Linked DNA regions of Caenorhabditis elegans. The protein of the gene in region 2 interacts with the protein of the main gene of each other region in a pairwise test. Each region holds a gene or a part of one and is shown on either strand. Other genes may lie near its edges.

Region 1 (3,756 bases), on a different chromosome or scaffold from region 2:
GAGCAAAGGATTTGAGTTGATTAATGCCGAATTTCGTCCAATAGTAACAGGACCCACTACCTAAAAGTTCAATTGAAATTAACAACTAGCTTTCAAACTGAGTTACCTGAAAGGGATTCTGCTGAAAGAGGTCATGAAACGCCATTGGCAACAAAATAACATTTTGTTGTTTTCGAGAATCCGCATTTTCAACTACATTTCCGAGTTTCTTCTTACTACAGTACAAATCTTCATGAACTTTCAAATTGTGAAGGGAGTTGAATTTTGCCACGTGACAGTGTGGACATTCGTGTTCTGAAATTTCGAAATGCAGTTCTTTTCGAAAAGCAAAAAAGCTCACTTTTCTCCAACTTTTCTTGCTCCAGACGATAGTTCATATCAGCGACAAGAATGGCTCGAAGTGGCTCCACGGTCGTCAGATTTTTTGTGAAAAGAATTGTGAACACGGGACCTGAAACATTGGCCTAGGTGAAGTTGAAATTTCAAAAAAGTCGTTTGGTGGACTAATTAGTGAAAGCTAGGCAGGACATGAATTGTCTTTGAGTGCAAAAATATCCGTTTGGGTGGCCTAGTTTTCAATTTCTAGGCCATGTCGTGTGGCTCGCATACCTGTCTGCATAATGACACAATTAGCTAGAAGTGGACCTTGGGCTGCTTGAATTCTCCGCGTCACTGGATTCGATTCCATCTCGAAACCCATCGATTCACCGGTGAAGTTGGAGAGCTGGAAATTAAGGAGGTTCTACGGTGCATTTGTGCGGGGAATATGGTGTATTGTGTCTGTCGAATCAGAAGAATTCAATGCGCCAAAAGTTACGCGCAAATTTGAGAACCCACCGGTAGTCAGAATCCAGTTTTGATCTACAGATATTGCGCCAACTTCTATAACTTACAGTATATGCTTTAACTTACAGTAATCCTCAACAGTTGTCCATTGCCGCTCACAGAATACGGTCCAACACAATCGCCACATCTAAACTCGATTGGTGCGGTCATAACTTGTTTTCGTATTGACTGCAAACTTTTGATGATAATTCAGTCCTCAATATTCAACAAAAAAAGTTTTACGCGATGTGTAAATTTAATTTTCTAATTTTTTTTGCGTTATTTTTGTAATTTTGAATTTATATTTATCATCATTTCCCTATTCATTAATCAATATTTTTGTTTGTCAAATGTAGCGTTTTGGGTCTCGCAACGCTTAATTCTTTTGAGTTTACTGTACTGTAATTTCACCTTTCATAAGAAAACCGATAATAAAAATAAGAACAAATCAAATTTCAACAAGTTGTCAGAAAAAGGTGCAAGATAACATTACTTATTAGAAGAGCACACCTTTTTGCATTTCACAAAAATTTGTAGTGTCGAGACCGGGTTTGAAGCAAAAATCAAAAAATCTACTGTAACTCACGCTAGCTATTGTATTATGCAGAATCGATTGGTTTACATCCATTGTATATAAATGAAGTGGCCGAATGAGAAAACGAAAGAAGAGGCTTCCGACGAAGAAAGATGGGCTCGAGTGAGCGATAAGATCTCAGGGACAACGCGGGGCGCAGAGCAAGTTGTGCGTGCTCCGGCACTCCGAGTCACACAGATTTTGATGATAAGGTGAAGAAGAAGAAGACAAAAGGAAGATTGGGAAGAGCAGATGAAGTGACTGAACAACTGAAATAGATTGAATCTCCGGTTGGAATGAATATTAGATTAGTAGAGATTTGAGAGGAAAAGTTGAGTAGTGAACATTGCGCGTGAAATGTGATGCATTGAGTTGGCAGGTGCTTTAAGAGCAAAATATGAAATTTTAATAGAGAAAATCTAATGTTTTAAACTTCTGAATATTGCTTTGTTTTTGAAATTAATTATTTATGAGAATCTCCAAAGTACTGTCAGATTGAAGCCTTTTACCTTAGTGCATAATTTGAGCTACGGTAATTATTTTTTTGCGTATTAAATGTGCTTACACTTCAACAGTTTAAAGGTACATAGATGTTTCTAGAATATTTTCATAGATGGCTGATTCAAAATTAAAAGCTCTATATAGTAAAGTAATATTATAACATTGACTTTTGCCTACCGAATATCTCAATTATCGCCGTCTTCCTTACTGATCATTATCTACCCCAATTTTTATCTTTAATCAGTTACCACAATCTCTTATCATCTGTGATTCAGTTTAACTATACATGTAGGGATGTTCCCAGTTGTCGACTGTAGACATTTCACTAGGTTGAGGCGTGACGGGGGCGCCTCTCTCTCTCTCTCTCTCTCTCTCTCTCTCTCTCTCTCTCTTCGCCCTTCTCGCGCCCTATCCGTGCAATTCACTTATATACACGCTATAGCTATACAGCGAACTTTATTTTCTTCTTCTACGGTTTCAAAGGCGCACGTATTTATGCGAAATGGTCTCACCACGCGTTACTCATTAATGTTTTTTTTTTTCAATCAATGGGTTGCGCGTAGCGAGGCCATTCCGCTTAAATACGCGTTTATTTTTTTATCAATATAATATCAATTGGAATTATTTTAAATGAAAGAGAAAAAACCCCAAAGCAGAGTTCAAAAGATGTTCGTGCACGATCGTGTAGCAGCAAATCGGCGGCCGAGTTTTTTCTTTCATTTCCGCGGCCGCACAATAATCATGACGGTTTTACTGCATGACCAAGAGAGAGAGAGAGAGAGAGAGAGAGAGAGAAAATCTCGGCCATCAAGGTTTTCATGCAAAATTCAAGTTATCGACAGTTTCCGAAACGCAAAAACATGTGCCAATTTTTTCTCAGAAAAAAACTCACGAAAAATCAGGATAGTGCATACTATAAAAAATAAAATACTGAAAGTATGTATTCTCACAGTTCTCTCTAAAAGCCGCCACGTGGCAATGTCAAAAATTCAAAAGTGCCACCGGTTTTTTTCGAATTAAAACTCAAAAAAGTGATAAAAATGTATTATTACTGATGAAAATGTGAGGAAGAGGAAAAAGAAAGTGAGCCTGTGTGATATTATCATATCAGTTGAATTGAATCAGTGGAGTATGTGCTGATAGGGTTTCTTATCAGTTTCAACTAAAAAAACTAAACGACACCGATTGATTGCAAAACATCAGCTGATTGCAGATGTATGACGTGGCAGGAGGCACTGAAAAGCAAAAAAAGGTTCAGGAAATGTAGGAAAAAGGAAAAGCGGTGATAAAACTATAAAATATGAGGTAACCGGAAACGGGACAGAAGGATTGTTCAGAGAGGGTTCTACAATGCATCTTTTCACCGAATTCCTACTATTTTTTGGGTTTTTCTTAAAAATCGTAAGTTAGGAAAGATTCTGTGTTAATTTTTTTCTTGTTAATCTTAAGGTAGATCCAGAAAAACTGGACAACATTTTTTTGGTGTTCATTACAGTACCCAAGAGCATTTTTTATTCCTCATAATCAGAAAGACACTTTGAATTTTTTTAAAAATGAACTCCAAAAAATATAGAAACCTTCCAGGAATCAGCACTAGAAAGCAGTTTTCCACTAAAAGTCCTTCCGTTGAAATTCGGGGAAAATCCAAAAAATCATGAAAGAGTGTACTACTCCGAGGAGAGTGTGATCAATATTTTTAGTAAGTTTGAGGTCCTACCACGAAGTTTTTTAAATGTTTAATTTACGTAATTCAACCATTTGAGATCATTTTGTAAAATTGACATCCCAATAAAAGAATGTTCCAATAAATTAAAAAAAAAACAAATTACAGTTATATTTGGTCACTATACAAAATT
Region 2 (3,756 bases):
TGCTGTAGAATGGTCCCTGTTTCAGTAGTTTCCGTCGTATTCGCATAACCCATTTTTCCGATTCCAAGTCTTTTGACACGTCTGTAAATACATGAACAAATAGTCATTTTTCACGAGTGTATAATAATAATAATCCTCTTGTCACTATCCATACCTTCTCTTAAAGTTGCCGTTGTCAAACTGAGGCGCATTGTCCGCCACCATTTGCCAATAGTTGCCCTTTCTGTCGTTCGCGCAGCTTTGTCCGTCTCGTGCTTTTTTGACAAAGCAGTCGTTGAGTGACAGATTGTGTCGAATACTGTTCTGCCATCCCTGTTTTCGTTTCGCGTCCGCGTCACGGTAATATGGGAATTTGGCCTCGATGAACTGAAACACACATCATCGGTTTTGTTTGCGCCTGATAGGAAACTAACATACTTTGAAAGGTTATATCTCGGTTCATAATAAAGATATCAATGAATGATCAACTACAAACCTATAGAAAAATAACCAAAAAATATTTGGCTGGTAGACAATTTTTGTTTAGGACAAACGAGAGCTGAGATATTAACTGTCAAAGTTGAATACTAAGGTTTTTGGGTCTTGACACGAAGAAGGTCTATATATATATATATTGACATTGTTATTGACTTGTAGGAGAGAGGAAAAGTTGTTCACTGTGTAAATGTTATGGGAGAGGCACAGGGTGCCCCCCACACCAAATTAGTCAGATCTATTAAGGTTGATGAGTCAAAACGGAAGAGTGGAAGTGGTGGGTTACGGTAGATGTGCTGGCTAGTGAGTTGGGTTTTCCAGAGTTAGATTGAACTGAACATTACTAGATCACTTGTGACAGGGTTACGGTAGGGCAGGGCTAGGTGGAAAAAAAAAGCAACCAACTGAATATCACAACAAAAATATCAATGTATGAAACTTACTGTACGAAAATGTGATATGGGAAAGATGATGTAGAACCTTAAGAACTTTTTTTCGAATTTCGTTTTTTTTGTAGCAATAAGGAGCAGATTAATTTTACTGCTATATAATCGTGTTAGAAAATCTCCAAAATAACAGATATTTTGAGGCTTTTCTAGTAATTTCAAAACAATTTAAAGTACAAAAAATATAGGGAGAATCTCCGGAGAAGTGACGAATATTTTTCTGGATTTTTAAATGAAGTATATGTCATTACAAGATGATCGCCAAATTTTTCGCTTCAAAGGAGCATTTTGAACTAGAAAATGTTTCATTAAATGGCTCGGCTTGATCAGTTTTATATGACTAAATAGACTCCGATGATTCAAGTTTTCAAATAATTGAAATTTACAAAAAAATCTTTCAAACGTTTGCCTATACCTGAAAAACTTAAAAGAAGATAAAAATCGGATTTGGAACAATTTCAGCAGCCTCGAAGTTAGTGTAAAGTGAGATAAAAATTCTCAGAAAAAAAGTAATTTTTAAAGTTTTGGAATTGAATTTCGTAGATCTATTTTTGCAGGAATAACTGAAAGTTCTAGCACATATTTTAATACTCAATATGACGTCCAAAAAAAACTGGAATATTCCGCTAACATTGTGAAAAATTTGCTCAAAAATTCTTCAAAATTTGAATTGCCGCACCAGTTTTGGGTTTTTAAAATGGTATTTTTCCGCAAAAAAGTATTTAGTTTTAGCAAAATTTTCATGATAATTCCTCCAAAACCGCTATACCAAAAAAACGTTATCGAAAAGCTTCCCGTTACCTTGTAAATCTGATTCAACGTCATTCTCTTATCCGGCGAAGCATCGATTGCCATTGCAATAAGTGCAACGTAACTGTATGGCGGCTTGTCAATCGAATTTCCCTCTTGACTGGAAAGAGCTCTTTTATTTTCAAAACTTTGCCTCTAACAGAATTTTGCAACGGGGATTTTGTATTTAGAGAAGAAGAAAAAGAAAATATGTTTCCCCTCTCTCTCTCCCTCTCTAAAAACAATAATAAATAAATAAAATAAATAAATACATAACTTACACAATATGAAATGGAAGATGTGTTTGATGGCGAGTCATGATTATTGTATTTTTTTATGGTAGGGGGTGTCAAATGAGACAACGGATTATGCAGAAGCTAAGAGTGAGGGCGGGGTCTCGGAACTGTGAAGACGGAGGTGTGGGTGGAGGGAAAGAAATGGAAGAAGATTGTGCACACTGTCTCCTTCTCCCCCCTGTGTGCTCCTGACATTTTCTGGTGCTGATTCACTGGTAAAAGGGAAACAGAAACATCCAATCTGATCATCTCTTACTTTTTATATTTTGTAAATAAACGAAAAATCGAAAGGGAGAACACGACGACGATTGGAGAATATTTGTATTACAACACAAAATTACACACAACTTTTTACAGGGAGGAGCCATCGAGCATTACTCGCAAAATGAGACGGCACATTTCAGCAGGAATCAGAAGGTTTGTGCTTCTTTTTGTTGTACACAGTACTCCCGTTACAGTAATCTGGAATTATTCTGAAAATTTTGCGATTTTTTAATCCTTAACTTGACCATATTTTTTGACTTTCCAGCGACTTTTAGTCACCTTTCATTCATTGTATTTTTTCTACTAGACTTCCAGGCACTTTCCTTTACTTTGACAGCGTATATCTCAGCTCTTTTTGATTTTATCAAAAATTATTAACTGGCAAAGTACTCCCAAAATAATTCTCTACATTTTATTAGTTTATCATTTTTTGTTAAAATCTAAGTGAACCAAGACATAAGTCGTCAAAGTGGAGCAATGTCGGCGCAAGGCTAATAGGGAAAATTGGCAAAATAGTAGATCAAAATGATTTCCAATTTTTTTTTTCAAACTTCTGAAAAACAAATTTGTTTTAAAATTAATGATTATAAACCACAAGTATCGTTTTTTTTTTAATTTAAATTTAATTTCATTAAAAACTGGATTTTTTTAACTTTTTAAATTTCCAGCCACATTTTTGGGCATTGTTTTCTGTAGCCTCGAAAAGTGAATAGAAGTGCCTGGATCGACCAAAATAATTTGAAATATTTGTTTTAATGCTAAAACGGTCAATTCAGACAAAACTAGCCATTTTCCAAAGCATCAGAAAAATTTAGAAACAAATTTAGAAAACTTGAAAATTTTTGATTGCAAAATTTTCGATTTTTTCGAAAAAAAAAAGATTTTTATCAATAATAATTTCCCTCAAGAAAGTGATTTTAAAAATGGTTGTTTAAAATAATTCACCACATAATCAGAATTTCAAATATTCAAACAATTTCCAAAATTGGATATTTTTCATAGATAGTTCTATTTTTTCACACTTTCAATTTTTCTCTGTGTAGTTTCAGAATCACAAGATATTTTCCCATTTGAAACGAAAACATATCACTTTAAATAAATCACCTGAATATTTGCCACTGTTTTGCTTATCTGTCTGACTTTCTCTTATCAACAAATTGTTTCAAACTTTTTGATCAAAGGTCTTGCTTGTTTCTATTTTTACTTACTCCCTGTATTTCTTTTCACATGAGTCTACAAGAGAGAAAAAAGTAGCCGTCATAAGGGTCAACTAACTACTCCATTTTCAGGCTGATGAACCATTGTTCTTCGATCGAGGTAACATTCAACATCACATCCCGCAAAAGTTGTTATTGGGACGAGAATTGGTGCAGACACTGGAAGAGGCAAAAGTGAAAAAGTTGGAGGAGAGAGAACAAATGGACAAGCATCCACAGGATCGCGATAATAAAGGTGACATTTTGACTGGAAATTTATTTTTTTCTTTG

Evidence for each region.
Region 1: the proteins of fkh-6 (region 2) and F21A9.2 interact in a two-hybrid assay, tested with the Caenorhabditis elegans proteins (one large-scale study listed by BioGRID).

The regions. Positions count from the first base shown.
Region 1 is NC_003279.8:3,707,768-3,711,523, forward strand, and holds the start of F21A9.2 (C2H2-type domain-containing protein), read right to left. Parts: upstream 1,669-3,756; 5' UTR 1,454-1,668; coding exon 1,412-1,453; intron 1,015-1,411; coding exon 913-1,014; intron 725-912; coding exon 610-724; intron 452-609; coding exon 341-451; intron 295-340; coding exon 107-294; intron 61-106; coding exon 1-60. Other genes in the region: F21A9.1 (PRELI/MSF1 domain-containing protein), read left to right, coding at 3,251-3,301, 3,485-3,599.
Region 2 is NC_003280.10:4,381,261-4,385,016, forward strand, and holds the start of fkh-6 (Forkhead transcription factor fkh-6), read right to left. Parts: upstream 2,147-3,756; 5' UTR 2,029-2,146; coding exon 1,991-2,028; intron 1,831-1,990; coding exon 1,722-1,830; intron 367-1,721; coding exon 155-366; intron 82-154; coding exon 1-81. Other genes in the region: B0286.1 (uncharacterized protein), read left to right, coding at 2,363-2,422, 3,559-3,721. UniProt on the Caenorhabditis elegans protein: Probable transcription factor. Binds to the DNA sequence motif 5'-[TA]TGTT[TG]T[TG][ATG]TT-3'.